2 linked regions of the Oryctolagus cuniculus genome follow. Each later gene encodes a partner of the first gene's protein in a complex. Links are inferred from orthologs where the notes say so. Each region holds a gene or a part of one and is shown on either strand. Other genes may lie near its edges. The genes, in order: RNASEH2A and RNASEH2C.

Evidence for each region.
Region 2: the proteins of RNASEH2A (region 1) and RNASEH2C are in contact, whole or in part, in a crystal structure (PDB 3PUF), measured with the Homo sapiens proteins. The link is inferred for Oryctolagus cuniculus from reciprocal best matches to the Homo sapiens genes RNASEH2A and RNASEH2C. Residues at the interface, in NP_006388.2 of Homo sapiens: Thr11, Asn99, Ser102, Thr103, Leu106, Gly107, Arg108, Val109, Val196, Glu197, Lys198, Leu199, Glu225, Pro226, Val227, Phe228, Gly229, Phe230, Pro231, Gln232, Phe236, Leu245, Ala249, Glu250, Asp251, Val252, Ile253, Trp254, Glu255, Asp256; in NP_115569.2 of Homo sapiens: Pro33, Cys34, Glu35, Val36, Ala37, Val38, Ala42, Pro43, Val44, Gly45, Arg46, Phe47, Phe48, Pro50, Ala51, Arg53, Ser62, Phe63, Arg64, Gly65, Arg66, Cys67, Leu68, Leu134, Glu135, Thr136, Lys143, Gly146, Ala147, Thr149.

The regions. Positions count from the first base shown.
Region 1 is NC_091447.1:62,322,206-62,326,718, forward strand, and holds the end of RNASEH2A (ribonuclease H2 subunit A), read left to right. Parts: intron 1-1,591; coding exon 1,592-1,729; intron 1,730-2,155; coding exon 2,156-2,243; intron 2,244-3,372; coding exon 3,373-3,496; intron 3,497-3,633; coding exon 3,634-3,772; 3' UTR 3,773-3,839; downstream 3,840-4,513. UniProt on the Homo sapiens protein: Catalytic subunit of RNase HII, an endonuclease that specifically degrades the RNA of RNA:DNA hybrids. Participates in DNA replication, possibly by mediating the removal of lagging-strand Okazaki fragment RNA primers during DNA replication.
Region 2 is NC_091432.1:5,998,506-6,002,819, forward strand, and holds RNASEH2C (ribonuclease H2 subunit C), read left to right. Parts: upstream 1-1,269; 5' UTR 1,270-1,530; coding exon 1,531-1,702; intron 1,703-1,851; coding exon 1,852-2,000; intron 2,001-2,073; coding exon 2,074-2,193; intron 2,194-2,297; coding exon 2,298-2,324; 3' UTR 2,325-2,584; coding exon of another isoform or gene 2,585-3,041; 3' UTR 3,042-3,118; coding exon of another isoform or gene 3,119-3,278; 3' UTR 3,279-3,572; downstream 3,573-4,314. Other genes in the region: histone acetyltransferase KAT5, read right to left, coding at 2,585-3,041, 3,119-3,278, 4,301-4,314.

The sequences.
Region 1 (4,513 bases):
AGGCAGAGTTAGAGAGAGAGACAGAGAGAAAGGTCTTCCTTTGCTGTTGGTTCACCCTCCAATGGCCGCTGCGGCCAGCGCACTGTGCTGATCCAAAGCCAGGAGCCAGGTGCTTCTCCTGGTCTCCCATGGGGTGCAGGGGCCCAAGCACTTGGGCCATCCTCCACTGCCTTCCTGGGCCACAGCAGAGAGCTGGCCTGGAAGAGGGGCAACCGGGACAGAATCTGGCGCCCCAACCGGGACTAAAACCCAGTGTGCCGGCGCCGCAGGCAGAGGATTAGCCTAGTGAGCCGCGGCGCCGGCCACCACTCTTGAGTTTGGCTTCCTGCTACTGCAGGCCCTGGGAGGCAGCGGTACCAGTTGAAGCGACTGGGTCCCTGGCCCCCATGTGGGACATCCTGGTTGCATTCTGTGTTCCCAGCATCAGCCCTGCCCAGTCCTGGCCAGTGTGGGCAGCTGGAGAGTGAACCAGTCCTTGGGAGCATGTTCCCATGTTTCTCTCTCTGTCTCTGTCTCTCAGGTGCACCTGTATCAGTTTCCAGCCAGGTTCCTGTCCTTAGCAGGTGCCCCATGCCCACACAGTCCAGCCCCCATCCCCCAAGCTCCGTGTCCTGGACCCATCCCGCCTCCGTGCACCGTGCACAGCCTCTAACATGGCTCAGGGCATTGCCTCCTCCGCCTCTCTCTCCCCTCCCCCACCCTGGACACCTGCCCTGTTTCCTTGGTTCCTCCCCCCCCCCCCCAGACTCCAAACCCCTCCCCTGGAGCCTGCTCCCCACGCAGCAGAAGGTTTGCCTTTGCAAAATGTAAATCTCGACATTCAATTTCACCAGCCCGGTGGCACCAATTCACGCAGCCTCGGTAGGGGTGGGGGTGGGGGTGGGGGTGAGGGGAGAAGAAAAGAATGAGATAAAATTACGGTCACGGCCGTCTCGACGCTTGCTCCAGGGCAGAGCGCAGGCTGTTGGGAGAGAACAAGAGGGAGGTGGGCTCAAACCGGCACTGAGAGAGGTGTTGCCAGCATGGTTAGGGTCTGTTTATCCTGCTGTGCCCCAGCACCCGCCACAGCCAGGGTAATCTCTGGACTCAGGAAGTGCTGGGGCCGGTGGCTGGCACTGTGGGCTAGGCAGCTGACCCGGCATCCCCTGGAACAGAGCTGATTCGAACCCTGACTGGCCAGCTTCCAATCCAGCTCCCTGCTAATGCCCCTGGGAGGCAGCAGGTGAAGGGGTCAAGGTACTCCGGCCCCTGCCTCCCGCATGGGAGACTCGGATGGAGTTCTGGGCTCTTGGCTTCAGTCGTGGCCAGAGCAGCCTTTTGGGGAGTGAATCAGCGGACGAAAATCCCTCTCTCTCTCTCTCTCTCTCTCTCTCTCTCTCTCTGGCTGGCACTCAATTAAGTAAATCAATCAATCAATCAGAACAAAAACCAACAAGGGCTTGAGCCAATGAGGGAAAGTGTCTTTGGGCGGTGCCCCCTCCCATGGAGGAGTGTGCCCCCTTAGCCGCAGCAGGTGCCAAGGGCCGCGGGAGGCGGGGCCGGGGGTCGCTGCGCCCGAGGGTCACCGAGTGGAATCCGCATTCCGGGGCAGGTGTTTGTGGACACCGTGGGGCTGCCGGAGACGTACCAGAAGCGGCTGCAGGACTGCTTTCCAGGCATTGAGGTGACGGTGAAGGCCAAGGCGGACGCCCTCTACCCGGTGGTCAGCGCCGCCAGCATCTGTGCCAAGGTGGTGCCCTGCCCCGCCTCAGCCATGCCCCGCCCCGCCCCAGCTCTCAGCGGGCCCTGCCCCCAGCTCCACCCCACCCCACCGTGCCCCGCCCCAGCTCTCAGCATGCCCCGCCCCCATACCTGCCCACCCCACCCCTAGCTCTCAGCTGCCCCATCCTCAGCTCCACCCCACCCCAGCTCCCAGAGGGCCCCCCCAGGCCCTGCCCCCAACCCAGCTCAGCTTCCCTGTGTCCCATCCCTAGCTCCCACTGTGCCTGTCCCAGCCCTGCCCCACCCCACCCACAGCCCTGCCCTGCCTCCGCCCTGCCCACAGCCCCACCCTGCCCGGGCCAGCGGGTGGGGTTCCTGGCTTGCAGGCCCGCAGAGGCTGGAGGTGCCAGGACCACACACACACACACACACACACACCCCACTCGCCCCACAGGTGGCCCGCGATCAGGCTGTGAGGGACTGGAGGTTCGTCGAAGAGCTTCAGGACCTGGATACCGATTACGGCTCAGGCTACCCCAATGGTGAGCGGCTGTTCCTGGGACCGTGGTTAGGATCGAGGCAGGGGCCACGGCCAGGGCTGAGCAGGCCCCTAAGGTCTTCCAGATGTCCTGGCTCACCCTGGTCCACGGTGGGAGAAGCGGGGTCCCAGGCAGCCCCAGGCACTTGGAGGGGCAGAGTGGGAACCCACCCCTCCCTCCTGCATTTCTCCTCCTTGGTCACTGGGTGCTTCCCATTGTGAAAGGTAGAATGGCGGAGAGAGGGAGAGGGAGATCCCCAGATGGCCGCAACGGGCAGGACCAGGCCAGGCCACAGCCAGGAGCCAGGAACTCCATCTGGGGCTCCTCCCACATGGGGGCAGGGATCCAAGCACCTGAGCTATCTCAGGAGACCTTCCCAGGGGCATTAGCAGGGAGCTGAACTGCTTCACTCCCCAAATGCCTGCTATGACTGGGGCTGGGTCCCGGGCCCCACCAGAGCTCTGAGCCTGGAACTCAGCCTGGGTCTGTGTGGGCAGCTTCGATGCTGTCGTGACCGCCAGGCCCCCCGCCTACTCTGTCCCTCCCACTTGTCCCCCAAGCCAGAATGAGCCGGGCTGGCTCCTTCCCAGGGGCCTCAGCTTTGATTTCTTTGTTGTTACTACAACTCGGGGCTCAGTGTTCCTGTCTGCAGAATGGGAACGCTCCATCGTGCACGCCCGAAGCTACTTGCACACACACACACACACACACACAGCAGATGGAAGATTCCAGGTTCAAGGAAGGCTCTGAGCTTTGGAAACCCGGGAAGGGGGCTGGCCGCTGGGTGAGGCTGTGATTGGAGCTCAGATGAGGCTGAGAACAATCGTGGCAACATTCCTTGTTTTTGGAGTTTCTATCCCTGCTGGGCAGGCCTGAGCCCCGGGCCGGGAGGGGCGGGGGGTACAGCAGCCAGCAAGACGAAACACATGTCTGTCTGTCATCCACCGAGCTGGTGGCGGTGCACTGGAGGCTGGGGGGGTGCCGGTTTTACCGTGGTCGGCCCTGGGGGTCCTGGGGAAGTAGCTCCCAAGGTCCCCAGGCCAGGGAGGTGTCCTTAGGATGCCACGAGGAGGAGCTTGGATGTCGCCGTGCCGGCCAGGCTTGTCACCACGGCTCTCCCCCTCCCCACCAGATCCCAAGACGAAAGCGTGGTTGAAGAAGTACGTGGAGCCGGTGTTCGGCTTCCCCCAGTTCGTGCGATTCAGCTGGCGCACGGCCCAGACCATCTTGGAGAAGGAGGCGGAAGGCGTAACGTGGTGGGTGTCCCTCGGTGCTACGGAGAGGGAGGGCGCGGGGCTGGGCCTGGAACTGGCCTGGGAGGCCCGCTCTTCCCCCCACCCCCACGCCACCCCTTGCCGGCAGCGGTCAGTGTGGCCAGCTCTGTCCCCTCCAGGGAGGACACGCCCACCGAGGACCAGGATGGAGCCGGAAGGATCACGTCCTACTTCCTCCACGAAGGCCCCCGAGCCCGCCCCCGCCTCCCCCACCGATACTTCCAGGAGCGGGGCTTGGAGGCAGCCAGCACCCTCTAGAAGGCAGCCCTTAATCTGCCTCTCCCCGCCACCGCCCTCCACACTGAGTAAAGTTGTCTAAGAATAACCAAGCCTCGTGGTTGTGCTCTGGGGGCGGAGGCAGGGGTAGGAGCCTGCCCGTGTGTGGTCCCGGGCACTTCTGCCTTTCGGAACCTAAACAGAACGAGACGTGGGTCCATTTGCTTTCCTTTTTCAATAGGTTCTCTTCCTCTGCTTATGCAAATGGCGGAGCGGTGTGGGCTAGGGGGAGCCTCGTACATCTCCTGGCTTGCACCAGGGAGCCGTTGTCAGCTGACCTGCGTGAGCCCTCCAGGCCCGGCTGGGTCACACCGAGGCAGGAAATCGCACTTTGAGATGCCCCTGTCATTACGTCCCGCGTGACTGACCCTGACGTGTTCCAAGACTCTGATTTGAAGGCAGAGTCACAGAGAGGCCCTCTACCCGCCACCCAGTTCACTCCCCACACAGTTGCTCGCAACTGCTGCAGCTGGGCCAGGCCAAAGCCAGGAGCCAGGTGCTCCCTCCCTGGAGTCCCCAACATGGGTGGCAAGGACCTGAGCTCTCAGGCCGTCTCCTGATGCTCTCCCAGCACACAGCACGGGCAGAGCATCGCATGTGGGGGCCCGACATGTGGGCCCAGAGCAGCAGTGTGTCGTTAGGATGCCCACGAGCCTCTGGGGAGGACCTCGGTTCAGGTCCCAGCTGTGTTGCTGACTGCAGCTTCCTGCTGGGGGAGACCCC
Region 2 (4,314 bases), on another chromosome or scaffold:
ACATCACAGAACCCAGGCAGCGGGAACCTAACAGGACCAAAGCTATCAAGACAGATCCAACGATCTGTTCCCGATTTAAAAAGAAACCCTGGGCCGGTGCTGCGGCCCAGGTTAAAGCTGCCGCCTGCAGTGCCGCCATCCCACATGGGCACTGGTTCAAGTCCCGGCTGCTCCACTTCCGATGCATCTCTCTGCTGTGGCCTGGGAAAGCAGTAGATGGTCCAAGTCCCTGGGCCCCTGCACCCGTGTGGGAGACCCGGAAGAGCTCCTGGCTCCAGATCAGCCCAGCTCTGGCCATTGAGACCATTGGGGAGTGACCCAGCGGACGGAAGACCCGTGTGTGTGTGTGTGTGTGTGTAACTCTTTCAAGTAAAAATAAATAAATCTTTTAAAAAAGAAAAGAAATTGCAAGATGGAACGAAGCAGCACAGTTATCTGTATTTGAGAGAGAGATGACTAACTGGGGGAAACCAAGAAAATAAACTATTGGGAACAGCAAAATAATTTATCAAAAAAAAAAATTAGTAAGTATCTGGCCCCTGGGGACAGGGGCCGCGTTCTTTAAAAGGTCATGGAAATGTGTATTATGAAAAGAAAATGCATGGGTTTCAAAGCTGCACCAGGAATAACCTTTGTTTTTGAAAATCAGAGTCACAGGCAGGGCGAGGCAGAGAGAGAGAGAGACTTCCATCCGCTGGTTCACTCCCCAAATGGCTGCATTTGAAGCCAGGGGCTTCTTCCAGGTCTCTCACGCGGGTGCAGGGCCCGGCACTTGTGTCATCTCCACTGCGGTCCCAGCGCATCAACAGGGAGCCGGACTGGAAGCGGAGCAGCCGGGACTCGAACCGGCGCCCACGCGGGATGCGGCACTGCGGGCGGCCGCCTTATCCGCGGCCCTGACCCCTCATCTTCACTTCCATTTTCCAGCGCCCGCTCTGCACGCCCCACAGCCGCCCCGTCTGCGAGCGCACCGCTTGTGCCCGCAGGGTCCGATTGCGCAGGCGCGTGGGCGTCTCCCGCGTGCGTCTGCGGTTTGCACGACGAATCTAGAACGCGGCGGGCCCAGAGGCGGCGGCAGCGGCCGCTCCATCACGCACCGCGGGTGTCGGCGTCCCGGACACAGCCCAAGCAGGGCCTCCCCCAGGCGGGGTGAGGCCCACGGCCCCGCGCGGACAGGGCCACGGCGGGCGGCCCCATCGCTGCGGGAACGCTGCGGCGCGGCCCGGTCCCCGCCGCCACAGCCGCTGCCCTGGGGCGCCGCTTCTGTTACTCTCCACGGCCAGCTCGCGGGTCCCGCGGGGGCGCCGCGCACACGGCCGGTCGCGTGCGCGCGTGTTTGCCCGCAGAGCCCGCCCTGTTGCGTGACTGAACCACCCGGGACTTTCCGCGGAGGGGCGGGGCTTGCGGGCGGGATCCCGGAAGGACTACATTTCCCGTGACGCTCCGCGGCGCCCGACCTCCCGAGAGGCCCCGCGCGCTTTACGCGCCAGCTTCGGCCTCCGCCCGCGAGCGACGGACTAGCGGCGCGGAATGGAGGGCGCGGGCGAGGCGGCCGTGGAGGGGCACCGCGTGCACCTGCGCCCCGACTCCCTGCGCGGCGCGGCCCCCGGCACGCTGCACCTGCTGCCCTGCGAGGTCCTGGCGAGCCGGCCCGCCCCCGTGCGTCGCTTCTTCACGCCCGCCGTCCGCCGAGGCCCCGACGGTGAGCTGGCGGCCGCCTCCCCGCGGCTCCCCGGCGCGCGCTGCGAGGGCGCCTGGAGCCCTAGTCCCGGCGGCGGGGGCGGCGGGGTCGTGGGCCAGCTGCGCCGGGCCCGGGTGTCCCTGAGCGGGCCCTGCGCCTCCCTCCTGCAGGACTCCAGGCGTCGTTTCGGGGACGCGGCCTGCGGGGCGAGGAGGTGGCGGTGCCGGCCGGCTTCGCGGGCTACGTCCTGGCGGCCGAGAAGGCAGACGGGCGGCCGGGGTCCGGGGACGCGGAGCGGGCGCCGCTGGAGCGGGACTTGGTGAGCCACGGCGGGCCCGGGGCGGGCGCGGCGGCGGGGCCGGGCTGAGCCGCCTCCCTCCCTCCCTCCCCAGGACCGCTTTCTGGGCGCCACCGCCAGCTTCGGCCGCTTCACGCTGTGGGGCCTGGAGACCGTGCCGGGCCCGGACGCCAAAGTGCGCGGGGCCCTGACTTGGCCGAGCCTCGCGGCCGCGGTGAGTGCACGGGCGGGGTCGCTGCGGCGCGGGGCCCCCCACGCCGGACGGGGTCAGTGGGGGCGGCCGGGCCCCCGCACGGTTACAGGCGGCTCCTCTTGCAGATTCACGCTCAGGTGGCGGAGGACTGAGAGCCGGAGCCCGTCCCCACCTGCCGACCAGTACGCCCCGCACCGCAGCTGTGCAGAACCCTGGAGGCTCCGCCTACGGAAACGATTTATTGCCTGGTGCGGGGGCCGCAGCCAGGGCCACCCCACCCCCACCTTCTACTTTACAAAAGCCATTTTTACAGTGAAAGTGTCCTGTACAGTTGCCCCCAGCCCCTGCGCACTGCACAAGCCGCCCGGCTCCTCCTGGTCCCTGGTCAGGGCAGGCCGGGCCCGCAGCCAGCTCAGCCTGGGCGCTGACCCGAGCCCTCGGCGGGCCTGGGCACTGACCCGTGGCCCCTGCGGGCCCAGCCCCGTCTGGCGCTGCCCTGCGCGCCTCGCGCGCTGTGCCTGCTGGGGGCGCCGGGTCCCGTGCTCGCCGGCCCCGCGCCCGGAGGCCCGGTCACCACTTCCCCCGCTTGCTCCAGTCCTTGGGGGTGAAGTGCAGACACTTGGAGTCGATGCGCAGCAGCCGCTTCAGCATTGCCCGCTCGTGTCCGTCCACGATGTCCTCGGACAGCGTGAGGATGTACTGGCCCTGGGCGAGAGAGGGCCCGGCAGGGGTCAGCGCCCGGCCCGCACCGGCTTCCCGACTGCCCGGCCCTGGCCGCCCGCCCCACCTTGTAGTAGTTGATGAGGTTGAGGTACTGCAGCGTGGAGATGACGTCCTCCTTCTTGATGCTGGTGATCTCGCTGATCTCACTGCGGGAGGGCAAAGGTCAGGTCTCCCGCGGCCCGGGGCGGGGACAGCCACGCACCCCCGGGGGCGGCCGGCTCACTTGATGGTGATCTGCGGCCGCTCCCCACTCTCGGACTTGAGCCCCATCAGGATCTCCAGGATGGTCTGGGACCAGTAACTGCGATAGGACAGCAGGCCCAGGTCCGACAGGGGCTTCTCTGGGGTCCCCGTTCTCCCTTCCACCTTGGAGAGCTCATAGCCTGGAGCAGGGGAGCAGGAGAGGTGGGTAAGCGGTCAGACAGTGGCATCGCAGCGGGCACATCCTGCAGCAGGGGGCCGGGCCGGACGCCCACTGCTCCACCCGCTAACCTGCAGCCTGGCAGTGCAGGCGGACCAGGGACCTGGGGCCCTGCCGCCCAGTGGGGCCCTGCGGAGCTCCAGGCTGCTGGCTTCAGCCTGGCCCGGCCCTGCCTGCTGTGGGCAACTGGGGAGTGAACCCCTGACCAGACCTGTCTCTGCCTTTCAAATAAAATGAAAAGCATTTAAGAATTAGAGCCACGTGGCTTCTCTGCCCACCACCTGAAGGCGCTCGCCCTTGGCCTGGGTGCTGGGGGGGGCACCTGCAGTCAGCCGAGGCTGGGGGGGTGCCCATGTCCTTGGCCGTTGCTGTGTGGGTGCAGAGGGAGGCAGGGCAGACCCCGCCCTCTGTCCGTCACATTCTGGCTGGGACCTCGGGCTCGCCAGCTGCTCTGGGATGGAGCGGGCTGCGTGGTGGTGAGGAAGGAGCTTCACCAAGCGCTTCCCAGCTGGAGAGAGGCCTCCCTGCCCCTGCCCTCCTCCAGCTGACCACGAGAAGTTAGCTCCTCGCAAGCCCCTTTGGCCCCACCAGACCCCGAGGGGCAAGGCCCTGGGCCGGTCGCGCTTGTCTGCTCTCCTGCCCCTGCTGCACACTGGCCAGTCCCAGCGTCCACCCTGACCTGCTGTGCCTGCAAGGACCACGGAGGGGGTGGGCACCCTTGGGTTCCTGCTCAGCTGTGCGGGTTCATGCCACAGCCGTGGGCAGCAGCAGGTCAGCCAGATCTGGGAGAGTGGGCTGAGGTTTGGGGCCCTGGCCAAGATGGGGTGGGAGCAGTCACCCTGGAGTGTGAGACCTCGGCGAACCCCAGCTTGGTTCCTGGCCGACCCCCTTGGCTGAGCTGCACAGTGGGGGACAGCCGTGGGCGTGTGGCCTGAGGCACCAGCGGCAGTGCACGGGCCCTGGGCGGGGCGGCCACATACTCACTGAACTCAATCAGC